4 linked regions of the Saccharomyces cerevisiae S288C genome follow. The gene in region 1 interacts genetically with each later gene. Each region holds a gene or a part of one and is shown on either strand. Other genes may lie near its edges.

Evidence for each region.
Region 2: mutations in PEX29 (region 1) and CVM1 together harm fitness more than expected from each alone (negative genetic interaction), as found in Saccharomyces cerevisiae (2 studies listed by BioGRID).
Region 3: of PEX29 (region 1) and PEX25, extra expression of one rescues a mutant of the other (dosage rescue), as found in Saccharomyces cerevisiae (one study listed by BioGRID).
Region 4: of PEX29 (region 1) and PEX28, changing one enhances a phenotype caused by changing the other (phenotypic enhancement), as found in Saccharomyces cerevisiae (one study listed by BioGRID).

Annotation. Positions count from the first base shown.
Region 1 is NC_001136.10:1,414,710-1,418,823, forward strand, and holds PEX29 (Pex29p), read right to left. Parts: upstream 2,166-4,114; coding exon 501-2,165; downstream 1-500. Other genes in the region: SNM1 (Snm1p), read left to right, coding at 1-462; DIG2 (Dig2p), read left to right, coding at 2,690-3,661; alkaline phosphatase PHO8, read right to left, coding at 3,841-4,114. UniProt on the Saccharomyces cerevisiae protein: Involved in the regulation of peroxisome number, size and distribution.
Region 2 is NC_001145.3:573,165-578,083, reverse strand, and holds CVM1 (Cvm1p), read right to left. Parts: upstream 3,019-4,919; coding exon 568-3,018; downstream 1-567. Other genes in the region: type I HSP40 co-chaperone HLJ1, read right to left, coding at 1-366; ATG16 (Atg16p), read left to right, coding at 3,156-3,608; YMR158C-A (uncharacterized protein), read left to right, coding at 4,753-4,890.
Region 3 is NC_001148.4:336,890-340,382, forward strand, and holds PEX25 (Pex25p), read right to left. Parts: upstream 1,732-3,493; coding exon 547-1,731; downstream 1-546. Other genes in the region: YPL113C (glyoxylate reductase), read right to left, coding at 1-254; CAR1 (arginase), read left to right, coding at 3,055-3,493. UniProt on the Saccharomyces cerevisiae protein: Required for regulation of peroxisome size and maintenance. Has a role in the import of peroxisomal matrix proteins. Imports RHO1 into the peroxisome. Also promotes peroxisome division and biogenesis.
Region 4 is NC_001140.6:395,605-399,491, reverse strand, and holds PEX28 (Pex28p), read right to left. Parts: upstream 2,242-3,887; coding exon 502-2,241; downstream 1-501. Other genes in the region: MTC6 (Mtc6p), read left to right, coding at 1-224; SKG6 (Skg6p), read left to right, coding at 2,833-3,887. UniProt on the Saccharomyces cerevisiae protein: Involved in the regulation of peroxisome number, size and distribution.

The sequences.
Region 1 (4,114 bases):
CGATATCAAATCATGCTGCCAGAACAACTGAAAAGTGGGAAATTTTGCTCCCATTGCGGGTGTGTTTACGTTCCTAATTTTAACGCAAGTCTTCAGTTAACGACTAATACCGAGCAAGGTGACTCCGACGAACTTGGCGGCGAGAGTATGGAAGGACCAAAAAAATGTATCCAGGTTAATTGCTTGAATTGTGAAAAGTCTAAATTGTTTGAGTGGAAATCTGAGTTCGTTGTTCCAACATTTGGACAAGATGTTAGTCCGATGATCAATAGTACCAGCAGCGGGAAGGTTTCGTACGCGGTAAAGAAGCCCCAAAAGAGTAAAACTAGTACTGGTAAGGAGAGATCCAAGAAGAGAAAGTTGAACTCACTTACAAACCTTTTATCGAAAAGAAATCAAGAGAAAAAAATGGAAAAGAAGAAAAGTTCGTCACTGTCATTAGAAAGTTTTATGAAAAGTTGACTGTATCATCAGTGAACATATAGTATAACAAATCAAGTTTATATAGTTGAATTGAGAGTGTCTGTTAGCTCTTCGATTGACGGATAAGATGCATCCGCGTCGATATTGTTGAGATTAGGAATAGTACCGTTTATACTTTCCTCATCAGCGCGGTCATCATCACTACTGTGAGTTAGACCGCCACTCATTGAACCCTTCGTCACGCCATGTACGCCTTGCCTATATGTTTCTTCCCTCAATGGATTAACTACTTCCTCCTCACCAAGGTTTGAAGAAATACCAGAATCCAGTTTTTTCCGCACGCAACTGTTGGTCCACATTCGCCTTCTATATGAGCCCCTTTGTCCATCAAGATTGAGGTCATAGACCCATTTTGTTTCTGAATCTATCTCGACATACTGAATAAATTCGTCCTCTACCCATTCTTTTGGATCCAAATCAAGCACCCAATGAGAATTGGCTTCCCATTCCCAATCCTTAGGTGGCTCAATTTCTTCTAATGACTTCACTGAATTTTCCTCAATACGCCTCTGGTATATTCTCAAACTAGAGAAAAGAGAATAATCGTCATCAGAGAATCCAACTGGGCGCCATTCTTTGTATTCAGGAAGATACTTTTGGATCTCAAAGATCATAACAAGTCGGTGCTCCCTAGCCTCAATGAGTTTCAAATGCTGCAAAATCTTAGATTCCAGATTAGTACTTATAGTCAAAGTTTTTAATCTTGTCTCCTCCGAATTCAATTTAGTCAACAAATATTCACGATTGGACGGATGCGAGGCAATAAAAAAACCCCAACCTAGCAGTATCAGTACGGGTCTCATTGGAATGAGCTTGATAAATTTATCCATGTACAGAAAATTTAATGTTGCTATTATTAACAATACAATAAAATAAAACGACGAAATAGCCTCGTTGGTGAAGAATGCAAACTTTTGTAATATGAGTAAAGTAAAATCGTAGAATTTAACATATAGCAGCATATGGTTTTGTAAATCCGTGAGGTTTAAGACAAATTCTTGGCTCAGTTCAGGGACTGGTTTAGGAACCTCAGGTCTTCGCAAAGGTGGGCCTTGTGCTGGTGTTTGATTATTATCTAGATAGCTTGTAGGGTTTGGCTTATGAATGTAAAGGTATTGCGGGACCATTACGCAGAATAACAAATAGAATATAGGGAGCGAAGAAAGCATTTGAAAAGGTTTCAATATAATGAGCGTGTATAAGAACATGATAGATACTGTATACGCTGGGTTAGTCCAGTTTAATATCTTTATTAATTCATCCATAATCATGAATGGTACCCCTAGTCTCGAGTTCATCTGTATAAAATTCCTACTCGTGATCTGCACAGACAGCTTAGGCCTTTCTTTACCAGCAACCATACGATGGTGAATTGTATCAACAGCCGTTTTGGAAGATGGTGGTAATGCCATTTTGATTATCTTCTCTACCAGGGTATCTGCCATCATCTTTTGGATGTTTGATGTCGAGGGAAAACCGCCACCACTAGTTGGCTGTCCACTGGAAGATGGCAGACTACCACGTGTAGGATCACTAGTTCTAGAACCACTAGATATGCTCTCTTTCTTTGCCTGACTTTTTCCATCTATGCCATTTTGCACTTTCTTCCCCTTGAGAGTTGATCTAGTTGGAGTACCAGCATTATAGGTGTCATTCCAGAAAAAATTTGTCACCGAGTCCATCTAGACGTATATACAGTAGGAGACTGAAATTTTGCTACGTATACAGGTGAGTATATTCATGCGGCCTGATCAGTAATTAAAAATACACACTATTCCTCGTTGTTATTTCTTAAAATTAGTTCAAGAAGAAGGGGTAACCCCTAAGCTTCTTAAGTTCACCACAAAAGTATTACTGGATAGTGAAACAACAACCACCCATAACATTAGTTTCCTAAACACTACGGCGGTATTCACCTAGACGCCATCCTAGAAGGCTACAAAGTGATGCACGTATGATGATATCGGACATTAGAGCGTATACATACAACAGGTACACATAAAATTGTGATATGTCACAGCTTCATCACCCGGCGGACACGTCTATTAAATTATCAATAATTACATAATGTGCAGATCAAATAAACAATAAACATACAGCCATTTAAATTTTGGTTATTAATGTTATTTTTCATTTCTATTGCTTGCAGTGGTATTTATGTGGTATAGTTAAGCCTGCAGGAATATTTAAGCAAAGAGGGAAAATTATGAATAAAGAAGAGCAAGAAGACCCACAGCAAGAGCAAATATCAACTGTTCAGGAAAATGATCCCAGGAATTTGCAGCAACTGGGAATGCTGTTAGTATCTCCAGGGCTTGATGAAGACAGATTGAGTGAGAAAATGATTTCGAAGATCAAAAAATCCAGGGATATCGAAAAAAATCAAAAATTGCTCATATCTAGGCTGTCGCAAAAAGAGGAAGATCATAGTGGTAAGCCTCCTACCATTACGACTTCTCCAGCAGAGAAAACCGTACCCTTTAAGTCGCTGAATCATTCTTTAAAGAGGAAAAGGGTACCTCCAGCGCTAAATTTTTCCGATATACAAGCATCTTCTCATTTGCATGGATCTAAAAGTGCTCCACCAAACATAACAAGATTTCCGCAGCACAAAAATAGCCTTAGGGTCAGATATATGGGTAGGATGGCTCCTACGAATCAAGATTATCATCCTTCAGTGGCCAATTCATATATGACAGCAACCTACCCTTATCCATATACTGGACTGCCACCAGTACCATGCTACCCATATTCTTCAACTCCAACACAAACGCACGCATACGAAGGCTATTATTCCCCGATGTATCCCGGCCCCTTGTATAATAATGGTATAATACCAGCCGACTACCATGCAAAGAGGAAGAAGTTGGCTGGTAGATCACCACACTTGGAAGATTTGACATCGAGAAAAAGAACCTTTGTCTCCAAACACCACAACGGAGACCCAATCATAAGTAAGACTGATGAAGACATTGAATGCTCTGTCACGAAAAATTCATTAAGTGAGGGCGCTTCACTTAACGACGATGCCGATGATGACAACGACAAAGAAAGGATCATTATTGGAGAAATCTCTCTGTATGATGATGTTTTCAAATTTGAAGTTCGCGACGACAAAAATGACTATATGAAAGCATGTGAAACAATCTGGACTGAATGGCATAACTTGAAGAAATGACGAGATTTCACTTCTTCACGCTATAGAATGCACCTAAAACTCGCCTGCACTCCGAAACGAAATGCGATACAGTACGTGTCATGCGGTTAGTATATATACATATATATATATATATATATATTCAAATAAATTATAACGTATTAAATAATATGTGAAAAAAGAGGGAGAGTTAGATAGGATCAGTTGGTCAACTCATGGTAGTATTCGTCATAATGTTGTACTTCACTAGCTATTTCTGTAGCATCAAAATCTGATGTGTGTTTGGTGTCCCTAATCAAATCAGTGACTTCGTTCAGGTTCAATTCTAAAAAGTTTTCTAAGAACTGGCCAACTTCCGTATTTTCGTGATTGCCTTGTAAATTGTTCAAGACATATGACCATGTAGCTTTCTTATTGGCGTATGCATATATGTTGACGTCGACTGCGCTGTGACCATGCGTGGTCCAGCCAATT
Region 2 (4,919 bases), on another chromosome or scaffold:
TGAATTGAAAAACATGTCTTCAAATCCGCCACCCATTGGAGACCCACCTGCACTTCCTCGGAACCCTGAAGCAGCACCTCTGGATGGCATTTGTCTATCGTCAGGATCCCTACCTATCCTGTCATAAATACTGCGCTTTTCCTCATTGCTTAGTACTTCAAATGCCCTATTAATTACTTTGAAAGCTTCTCCCGCTTTTGGATGAGAGTTTTTATCAGGATGCAATTTGATTGCTAGTTTTCTGTATGCCTTCTTGATCTCACTATCTGTGGCTTTCCTATCTACCTTCAAAATTTCGTAAAACTCATGCTTGTCTTTTGACAGTATTTCTAGCGCGATTTTTTCTTGATCCTCAGTGAAAGACATGTTCTTCCTATTATAGACCTTCCACAAGTTATATTGCAGAAACAGCGTTGCTGCTATTATGGCTTCTGGAAGTAGAGGTGTATGAAAAGAACTTCTGCCAGCTTCCTTTATGTTCTTCACGAATACTTTCCAGCCTACTCTGCGGGTTACCCACTATACAAATACCATAATATGTTACGCGGTCCGCTATATACGAATCTACTATGTACGTCGAACATCATTAATCAAGTTTTTGGGGTTGTCATACATGGCTAAAACGCTCAGGATATCACGTAGGTGTTTCAAACCCCTTGTTGGTGGAGACCAATCCTGGTAAGTTCGCCAAATCTCTGTTAATCTTCTCAAAGCTTCCACGGTGTCCCTCTGAAAAACAGGGCCAGAAGTACTCGTGGTACTATCCAAGAAGCAGTTTAATGAGATGGAGAGCCTCAACGCATGTGGTATCTCTCGCTGCGGTAAATTTTTCAATTGAATCAATTTGGAGAAGGAATCATGAATTTTCCATACCAAATCATATTGATTGACAGTATTCAATATGCTTGTAGGAGTGTCGAGGTCGATGTTTAAACGTAAATGCTTACGACTTAATGGGTTTTTCGTGAATATTGTATTGTACAGAAAGCATTTATAGACTTTATCGTCATCATAAATGTCTGAATATATCCTTACGAAATCCGAAGATTTTTCGTTTTGATACTGCACAAACTGCAAAAAATCCTTTACCGTAGAAATATTCTCTGGCAATAATGATTCCGATGATGAACCGAGACTTTCACCCTCCCTTTGGTCGTAATTGAGTTGATGACCATTCATTTTCCACTTACTGTCCATTTCTTGAAGCCAGATTTTGTTGCTGTTCTGGTACTGTTTCCTAATATTTGGAGGCAATGTGTAATCATTAAATGACCTTGAAATAAAAAAAGGACTTAGTAAATTAATTATGGGAATAAATTGTTTATATCCTAAATTCTCCGTTATCATCAAAATATCCCATAAGGTTATTTCGAAAAGTCTGTTGGTGGGAATCTTCAATCTCGATTCAAAATTAGGGGTCCTTACATGGACGTCATTAATGTTACTAGTTGCTTCATCATCGGTATCAAGGTTTAAATTATTAGCATTCTTTAAATCAATGCCCATGTACTTCCCATTGCACCATAAATTTCTCAAGATTTTAGGGTGATTATAATCTATAGCAAGTTTTTCTGAAATTGTCATAAAATTATCATAAAGCTTACCAAAAAATGTCAGTCGAAACGTATCCCAATTGAACAAGAGCCAATCCAATGCATCCTGAACTAGTTTAGATTCACTAGAATCTATCCGCCTATAATTTTTGATTTTAGATAATGTGTCTTGTTGCTTTTTGTCAATGCCCTGAAATAACTGTTTTTCTTTGATTTGTTGGCTCTTCGTTGTGAAATCATTATTTGAATCATGATCATTACTATCATTTTCGTTAGTACTGGAATTGGAACCCAAGTTATTATAACTATTGCTAGTAAAGTCAGTGCTGTGGTCCCAAAATCGATAGCCTTGTAAACATGACTGGAAACTCAATACACTCACTGTAGTGTTTTCATCAAACTCTAGAACTTCATTATTTTGCACGATATATTTCGCTAATAGCAAAGTTAAGGGAACGCTGTGATAAACGCCCACAAAAAAAATTGAATCTACCTCTTTGAAAAGATGAGCCCAGTGGTTCAGTAACTCTACACATTCTTTATATGTAGGTATTAAATCTTGATTATGCAGTGGGCACTGGAACGATAGGGTCAAGACTCTTTGAGGTTGTTCTTGCGCTAGATTTTGTGACAATTTTCTAGAAAGATAATAAGCCGATCTTTGTGATTCTAATGAGCGCTGCTCATACTTTTCTGGTAAATCCCCCACGACGGATATTATAATAATTCTCTTATCCTTCAGTAATGCGGTTTTTTTTTGTCTTAAATAGAGATGTTGCTCATTAGGGAAGTTATAGTAATTTTTGATAGTATTCAATACCTTAGTTCTTAGTGGTTGGACGTGCAGAAAATTCAAAGGGTTATCTGATGGTAGGATTAAAGAATCATTAATAAATACATTATACCCAGGGTTACCTCCCTCCCCAGGATATTTGTTTAATGGCAATGGGCATTTGGCTGATCCTGTACCAGAGACACTGATTATTCCTGGGGTATCTATGGAATCAATTATGTTTGATGAATTTGATATATGTGGAATTGCTTCGTACCAACACCATGATTTCGACTTTTTTGAAATTATATCCTTAGCCTCATTTTCCAAGAAGTTGATTTGTTCAGTGTTTAGTTGAGAGTAGCGGGTATTATCATCAACAACAATTGGGGCACTTCTATATCTGGATGTTGCAAAAGAAGCGATTTTAGACCATATCCCTTTATTGTCATTATTCGAGTTCACGCTATCTTGAAAATCCGTTGTCGGACTACTCCTTCCTTGTCCATTAGGATATTCTGCAATTCTTCCCGTGTTTGGCTCATCGTCGGCAGTGGAATTCCACCAGGGTTTCCATCTGTTTTGTTGTCGTGGACGTTGGGGTGGGACTTCCTGCTGGTCCTCTCGTATCTGCTGCTGCTCTTGTGTTTGATGCTGCAACTGTTTATCCTGTTTCTGCTGCACAACATCCATTATAATAGCGTTTTATATGTTGTGCTAAATTGCTACTACACTTGCTCGCTTTTACTTATTCTGTTTGTAGTTGACCTTTATTTAACGTTGATTTTTGTTATTAACCTGCGCGAATCTGTATTAAGGGCGCATATTCCATGGGCAATTTCATTATAACAGAAAGGAAGAAAGCAAAGGAGGAAAGAAGCAATCCACAAACAGATAGCATGGATGATTTGTTAATTCGTAGACTAACAGATCGAAACGACAAGGAGGCCCATTTAAATGAGTTGTTTCAAGATAATAGTGGCGCCATTGGTGGCAACATTGTCAGCCATGACGATGCTTTATTGAATACACTGGCAATTCTACAAAAAGAACTGAAAAGTAAGGAGCAAGAAATACGAAGATTGAAAGAAGTTATTGCGTTGAAAAATAAGAATACGGAAAGGTTGAATGACGAATTGATTAGTGGAACCATTGAAAATAATGTTTTACAACAAAAACTCTCGGATCTGAAAAAAGAACATTCCCAGCTAGTTGCGAGATGGCTAAAAAAGACAGAGAAAGAGACAGAAGCCATGAACAGCGAAATAGATGGAACGAAATGATGCATCAGTTGTCAAATCGTCACAAAATGCATACAAAAGAAAATAAAATCATTGTGGTGCATATACATGGACAGAATATGAAACGCCAAAGTGTTTGCAATAAAGAGGTGAAAATATGTTAAACATGCTATAGAGAGTACACCTGCAAGTTAAGAAAATGCCATTCGTGTTTTTATCTACTATAATGTAATGTGACAGCTGTTTTAAACCTTTCTTAAGGTCGTTTGTGCGAGAACAGGCTTTTTTTTTGGAGAATGTATCTTGAGAGAAACTCAATAGTAATAACTGGATGCATAAAGAAAATTTCATATGAATCACTACAAATCTTTGGCGTTAGAATTCTATTGGGTAAATTGAACTTTGTAGCTTTTTGATGGTAAACTTGGCGGTTTTGCGCGACCCATGATCCTAAGAAACCCGCAGTTTCTATTAGGATTCACGATGGTCTTTATCTCACCTTCTATTATGTGTAAGTTGAAATGCCCCTTGCTGTTCTTATAGCAGAAAGCTTTTTTTTTCATTTATAGGACTAGCATTTTGGCATTGGAAGGGAAAAAATCATGCTTTCATTGAAAAATGAAAAGAAACATATCGTTATTTTGTGGGAACACTGAAGTATAATTTTTTGTTTCGGAAATTTACCATTGCATAGTGGGTATTTTCATCGAAAGTTGGCTAAAGAATGCATGCGGCCTGTTCATTCTGGTTATGAGCATTTCAATTGGTTAGTATATTGGCGTGAGTGGAAAGAATAGTGGATAAAAACTAAGAGACCCGTTCATTCTCCTGATACGATCTTGCGGTAAACCTTATATTTTTGGGGAGGGTACTGTAATATCTCATAACTCCGCGTATTATTGTGGATGTAACTTGTTGCTGATCCTCTCGCTGAGGCCATCATTATACGTGAGTCGAAGGATGGCCGAAATTTTATGATACTACACCGAAATTAAACCGTCGTCTAATTTAAGATGGCTGAAATGCAAAAACCTGGTTCTTTAAGTGGAAAATAGAAGACTAAATGGTTTCATTGCTATTTATGGTGCAAGAAGATGGCTTAAAGATTAAGAAGCATTAATCAGATTTAATGGAAGCTGAAGTGCAAAGGTTGATTATGTAGCGATCTCTAACGACAATTGTTGGAATGAAAATGAACTATCATCTATCAACTAGTAGTTACACTACCAGTATGTTATCATGTACGGTGTTAGATGATGACATAAGGTATGAGAAACTGTCATGGAAGTTAGACGAAGCTGAAATGCAAGGATTGATAATGTAATAACATAATGACACATATAAAACAGAGTG
Region 3 (3,493 bases), on another chromosome or scaffold:
TCAATATAACTCGAAGGGTTTCCTAACACAGTGAAAAACTCCTCAGTGAGCCAAAAGCCGTTTATTCTATGAGTTTCCAAAAATTTAACAAAATCATCCTTTGTGGACATCTCATATTTATAGAATTCTACCCTTTCTGCCAGTTTGCGATATTCAGGAAGATGACTGGCGACTTCCCATTGGGTTTTATAAGGCACCAAAATTCTTGGTTTGGCAGAATAAGTTACATCTGCTATGTCAATTGAAGTAATCATTGTTATTTAAAGGTTGCTACTTTTGTACACTCAAGTATTTTTCTGTATTTGAGAGAGAGCTATTTGTACTCCACACTCCACCTTTTAGATCTGCGTCAAAGTGTCAGAATAAACATACCGTAAAACGGAATGACTACCGCCACCCCAATGACATAAAAACGGAAGAAAAAGAGCAAAAACCGAGCGCCAAACTATCTTATTCAACGAATCAAATAACAATACAAATGCAGAGGTAAAACATTATTCGCCACATATATATGTACATATCTATATGTATACATATTTTTATATATCAATCTTTTGAAGAGCAAAGTGACCTCTTTGTTGTTATCCAAAGTTTAACCAGTCCAGTTAAGCCGGATCCCAGGGACAGAACGGCATACGTTCCCTTTGGAGTTTTTAAATTTAGAATATCTGATGTATTAGCCATGCAATCAAACGATAATCTTGCAATATCTAAATAAACAAGTGTCTTTTCATCCTTGATGGCCTTTAGTTGTTTGTGTATTAACACCTCTGCGTCGTTATTAACATTTAGGTCATTTAACAACTGTTTCCTAATTGGCGATTGTGAGCCATCGTCTTTATGGGCCTGATGCATCAGTATGGGTGAGAGTAGTAACGCGTTATTTTGAACTTTTAGTTGCACTTCCAATTCTAATTGTCTCTTCTGTAAGCTTTGCAGGTTGAGCCAATGGTCCTTCAAGCTTAAAAGAATGTCGTATTGCCATGCAAGAGACTCTTGTCTACTGACAAAGGAATAGAATGATTTATTTGTCCATATTTTCAATTTGTATAGCAAGTCTAATTCATCAAAGATACCATAATACAAGTCCAAAAATTCTCTCAATGAAGCTTCATTAAACCATATTTTCTTAATTTGGTCAATTTGAAAGTTGCACTTTCTGGTTTTATTGAATTTCCCCAAGAAACTGCACACTCGGAATGGTGTGCCGCCAAACCTTAAAATATATCTAAAAGTACTTAATTGTTGACTGATAAAATCAATTTTCTTGTCAAAATTTCTCAAAAGAGACAGGAGAAGTACTTTAATTACCGTGATTGGATGCCTTAGTGCGACTTTTACAGTCAGATTTTTCAAAATCTTGGTATAGTACGTTAATACGGAAGGGTCCAAAACAGTTAAATTTCGCTTAGACTTTTCGATAAACAGTTTTAATATATCCAGAGCGTATTTGATAATTTTGGCTAATTTGTCTCTACCAGATAGAGAATCCAATATATATTTTAAGATGGTAATATTATCCACCATCTTTGTTTTTGCTTGAGAATCCTCATCATCACTTCTCGAGGATTCAGTATGCGACTCGCTTCCACTGCCTGCACTGAACTTCTCTGCACCGGCGTCTGATGAATGTGGATGGGTATTGTCATCCTGGGCGTCCTGGTAACTTGCCCCAGAATAAGGTGGTGTTTCTGAACCGGAAACGATATCTGTCGTGCCAAACTGACTCATTGTTTTACGACCAGTTTCTATAGGTGAAGACTTACAGGGAAGTTGAGGATATCGACTCTATTTGTTACTTTCTCCAGCATACAAATTACCGATGATTCTGAGAAGAAAGAAGAAAAACGTATTTCAAAAATTATATAACCTGAAATAATAAGCCCAATCCCACCGGAATTTCATATACTATCACCGACCTGGAAAAAAAATGAAGAGTAAAAAGAAAAAAATAAATTTAGCGCCGCTCGGTTTCGATCCGAGGACATCAGGGTTATGAGCCCTGCGCGCTTCCACTGCGCCACGGCGCTGCTAAATCATGTGAGTTTAGCGCGTACCGAGCAAATTCACCAAAATATTTACATCCAATTTGCTCCCCTCACTCTTCCCCGATGTCGGTTGTGATTACTGCTACGCATGGCGACTCTTAATTTCTTTCAGGTATAGTAACATTTACTCCTTTAAGTAATTGTCTATTTTTCCTCGACACTGTATGTAGTTACCTTTCAAGGAAGCTATTCCAATACCATCGTGAGAAAAACTCTATTGGATACTTCATCTAGCTCGTATATATGCTTTTTAAACTTTATACCAAACCGTGTAGGCAAAACTGGACCGCCCGGTAAGTTCTGCTATTAACAAATTAAATAAAATTGGCCAAACTGAGGATTGACAGTTCTGAATATCCAAGATTACTGACTTCAATTTTCTCACTTCTCATCATAATATTCCGCTGATTTTTACATACCGTATATCCAATTTACGGCCCTTCACATATAGCGGCGAAATGATGGTAAAGCTACGCATACTGTCTGACAGGACCCTATTCTAGCAACCTTACATGAAACAAAAACAAACAACATCACATCATACGGATGAACTACGGGTGCAATCCCTGACTCATCAATGTTTATCATAAACTTAGATATCAACACTGATAAACCCCACCTCTATTTTTACTGGTTCTTCACTTTTTCGATGCCGCACCGTCGCCCGCGATCCCCGCCCTTTGATTGCTCCTTCCATTAACAGTTTTTTTCTATCCCTTACAAGAAGCCGAGACGCCGCGAAAATATCGGCTAGTGCGAATAGTCTCTAGCTCTTGCCCTTCGCAAAGCACCGTGCTGCTAATGGCAATCAACAGCGCATCGCCGCTCGCTGAATTTTTCACTTAGCGGTAGCCGCCGAGGGGTCTAAAGAGTATATAAGCAGAGCTTGCGGCCCACTTTCTATCAAGATCTAAGACTGTTTCTCTTCTCTTGGTCTGTATATGTTTTCTCAAAGTTAGCAGAAACAACAACAACAACTATATCAATAACAATAACTACTATCAAGATGGAAACAGGACCTCATTACAACTACTACAAAAATCGCGAATTGTCCATCGTTCTGGCTCCATTCAGCGGCGGTCAGGGTAAGCTTGGTGTCGAGAAGGGCCCTAAATACATGCTTAAGCATGGTCTGCAAACAAGCATAGAGGATTTGGGCTGGTCTACGGAATTAGAGCCCTCAATGGACGAGGCCCAATTTGTGGGAAAGTTGAAAATGGAGAAGGACTCCACAACTGGGGGTTCCTCTGTTATGATAGACGGTGTCAAGGCTAAAAGAGCAGATTTGGTTGGTGAAGCCACCAAGTTGGTGTACAACTCCGTGTCGAAAGTGGTCCAGGCGAACAGATTCCCCTTGACCTTGGGTGGTGATCATTCAATAGCCATTGGTACTGTATCCGCGGTTTTGGACAAATACCCCGATGCTGGTCTTTTATGGATAGACG
Region 4 (3,887 bases), on another chromosome or scaffold:
GTTGGGTAAGTGGTGGTCCTTATGCTAGTTGCCCATATGAAAAAGTCATTTCTAGGAGAAATTTCGTAACAATGATGGTCCCTGCGTCAGTCTGTTCCTTTGCCCTACTGTGTATTGTCGTTTACTTGAGTGTATTGAGGGTCCCCATTTATGATAATAGAAAAAATTGGAGAAGAGTTATCAATAAAATCTCTAAATCCGAGCTAGAAGGTGTCCCTTCTTAAAAATCACTTTTTTTCTGACACTTTAGAATTTTCTCAAGTTTTACGACATTAAAACTCAAGTAGTGCTTTTTTTCGTTTCATTTATTATTAATTCATATATAGCATTTCTTAAAACAAAACTGTATTATTTATACTTCAAAAGCGCATTTTTGTATTTTACCTAGTAATATTGATACATAACATTTTTTTTTCTAATATCTTTAGGAAAAAAGTACGTAATACAATGATTTCCCCAAGAAGAGGGGTGGGGTTGTAGGTGAAGGAAAACAATTGTGCATTATGCTACTGGTGTTGCATTCTTAATAACACGATGTATCAGTCTCCTCCTCTTGAACATTGGATCAAATAAGAATTCGCCGGTAATTGGCAGATTCAACCCACGTTCTACCACCCACCTATCCACATCATTGTCAATTTTCCACTCAAAATTAGGATCAAATGACCAGCCTGTGGGGGGAATAACATCAGCCAAAGAATCTACTCCCGGTGGGAATTGCTGTGCTCTTCTATACGGATCTTGAGGATCGAAAATTCTATTTGAATATCGGAAAAACTTCCAGTCGTTCGGCAGTAAGGCCTTTTTATATATTTCAAAAATCTCGATGAATTTAGTTTCCGGTTGTTCATCGAATATCATGTTAAGCGCCTGGTGTTCTCTTTTTTTCAAGTTTTTGTATTCTTTTCCCATTGTTCCTGTTTTGAAAAAACTTATTATTTTTGGATGAGCTCTTGGATGCATATATATCAGTAAGCACCAGGCGAATATGCTACATACATAGCTCCAATTCACAAATGGTGATAATATTTTTAAGAAAACAATCAAAAGAAATCCTGTAAAAAAACGTTTAGTGGAGCACTCTTCGTTTTGAAAACTAGAAGACTTACGAAGAAAACTATTGATTGCCTCAATAACATGAAGGGTACCAGAGGTCATGTTTTGCATATCGCGTAAATTAATTAGTACTTTCATTCCTTGTTTCAATTCCCCTGTGTTTTCGGTTCTTTTATCTAATTCTGATATTTCGTCTATTTCTTGATTTCTTGATTCCAAAGTGTCCATAAAAGATTTGGAGAAAAACTGTTGACCGTAGCTGTACTCATTTTTTCCCTCATAGCACACATCATATAACAATGATGATCCGTGATTCCGTTTCAGAGGATATATACTCCTTTGTAAAGGATGTTTACGCACATAGCCAGGAACTACAATACCATAGACAAAGCGGAATATAGGCAAAATTACCAAGTACATTGGATTAAAACATATCAAAGTGAATAATATTAACGACGTCACCGTCCCGGTAGGGTTTCTCCAAGTCAGCAGTCGAACTATGGAGTCCTGGAGTTCAAATATTGAGCCCATTTTCTTAGACAATTTTTTGAAATTACTACCCAATGTAGTTGCTGAAAACACGGGAACCCTTCCTGTGTCTAGATCATGCTCAATGGTGGTTTTGCTACTAAAATGCTCTCTTTCTGGTAGCTTTTCAGGGACCAACCTCGATATTAGTTTATCCAAAAATACATCGATAAAAGGATCTTTTTCACTATTGGAAGTCATAGGTTCTAGAGCTGGCCCTGATTCGGTTTCATCGTCATAATATTCGGGCGCGCCCTCAAAGTGCGCTGAACACTTGAAAACACCATCGCACTCCCTGCACTCTTGCTCTCCATACGAATCATTTACTGAATATTCCGGAGTACTTGATACTTCTGATGAGTGGGCAGTCTTCAGGCGCTCAATGGACGTACTGAATAATGAACCAGCAATTTGTTGGAGTAGTTCCTTTTTGCTAATGCCTTGGCTTGTTGCGGAGGAGGCGGTTAGCGAAGGATGGCTCATCTCAGAATTTCCGCTGGAGGAGCTTCCTGATAGATCTTCTGCTACAGTTGGCGATTTTGATATTGCTGCTTCTGCCTCCAGTATAGAATCCAACACTTTATTGTATTTGCCTGCGAAGTAAGATTTGACAGCGTCTTTACTCGCGCTCCTGCGACTTGAGCTGGTCTCACTCATTTGCTGAAGATATATTATCTCTTTGTCACCCTAAATACCTGCGTTTTTATCTTATTCATTATGGTTCTATCTACTGATGACTCCAATTCGTAGGCATTCGTCATATTTATGTCTATCATGTCACAATAAAAGGGAAGTTCATCGCGGCGGAAATAATAAAAGCCATTCCACTAACCCTAAATAGCCCTTACTTATTTCCTTTTTCTTGAAATTTTCTCAGCCCATTTTATTTCATAGACCTCGTTCAATTATTTAGTAGCCCTGACACGTTTTGAAATTCTTTAAATTTTTTTTTTTTTTTTTTTCGCGAAGCGATAAACTTTTTTGCAGCTCGAAGAGGAAAACTGCTCACCCAAATAGGAAAGTTCATCGAAAAGACAAGGTTTCTTCCGTATTTTTTCTCTTTTTATCTCAATAAGAACTTTTAATAATCAATAACAAACTCATGGTGAAGCTTTTGTGGGGAGCAGGCCTTGTCTTTATCCATATCGAATTTTTCACTGGTTCTTCTTTTCATTCTTTCATTACCTTTCATAGTTTTTCGTTGAACTCATATAGCGTCACATAGTTCTAACAAAGATATAGTTCGCGATGTACCACACCCATATGCATGAAAGTTTAATATCTGTGACTTCAACGGTAAGTGTTTCTGATGCGTCTTATGCTTATGCAAGGCTCACTAGAAGAGACGATAGCGATTCATCTTCTTCCTCAGCATCCAGCACGAAAAATAGCAAATCTGCTGAATGTACAGGCTCTAAACAGCAATGTCAATTACCCACAGATTCGAGTCACAGCACCAGTGTAACTGTTGGTGTGGCTGTTGCGGTACCAGTAGGTGTCATTATCATTGTTCTGGCTGTGATACTTTGCATTGTGTATAGGAGAAGCAAAAAGGAAGCTGAGGAAGATAATGATCCAGATTTCGAAGGAGATTCTGAATTTTTACCGACAATGAAGGATTATTCACCTGGAATAAATCATTTGTACTCTAGCGACTCGCAGCAAGACTTCATGGAAAAGACCTTGCAACAGCCGCCTTCAGATCCCTTTGTTGGTAGCATGCATAGTAGTAAATATAATGTGAGAAGCGCTACCCCACCTGCAATTGGTCGGTCATGGTACGTAGACCCGTTTCAGCTTCCACAGGAATCGAACGACTCTAACAGTTTGAGAGATTTTGCCATGAGAGTACAAGAAGATGGACTAGGTGGCTATAAAGTTGCGGCCGAGTCTAGAAATGCCAGTCAAACGTCCTTGCATCCTGATAACTTTTCGAATTGTACACCAATAAGAGCGTCTTCAAGATTTCAAGAGAGTGAAAGCTTTCGATCTCACGGTAGCCCAATCCATAATAACCAGCTTTCCCGTGGTTCTGCCACAGAAGGTGCCAACAAGCAGTTTACATTTCCTAATGAAGACAATGATTCGTCCTCAGTTAGTGAAGAGGCTGAGGTTTTGAATGAGTCAAATGAGTCTGCAAGCAATGACGCGTTCGAATTCGAACTTGATAATAGTTCAGAAAAGACACATGAAAGGAATCTGCGTTTTGGTAAGGATGATGATAATTATGAACTTCAAGATATCAGAGAAGCTGAACATATGAATGATCGTAGTAGCAGTAAAAGTCAAGATGATGATTACTA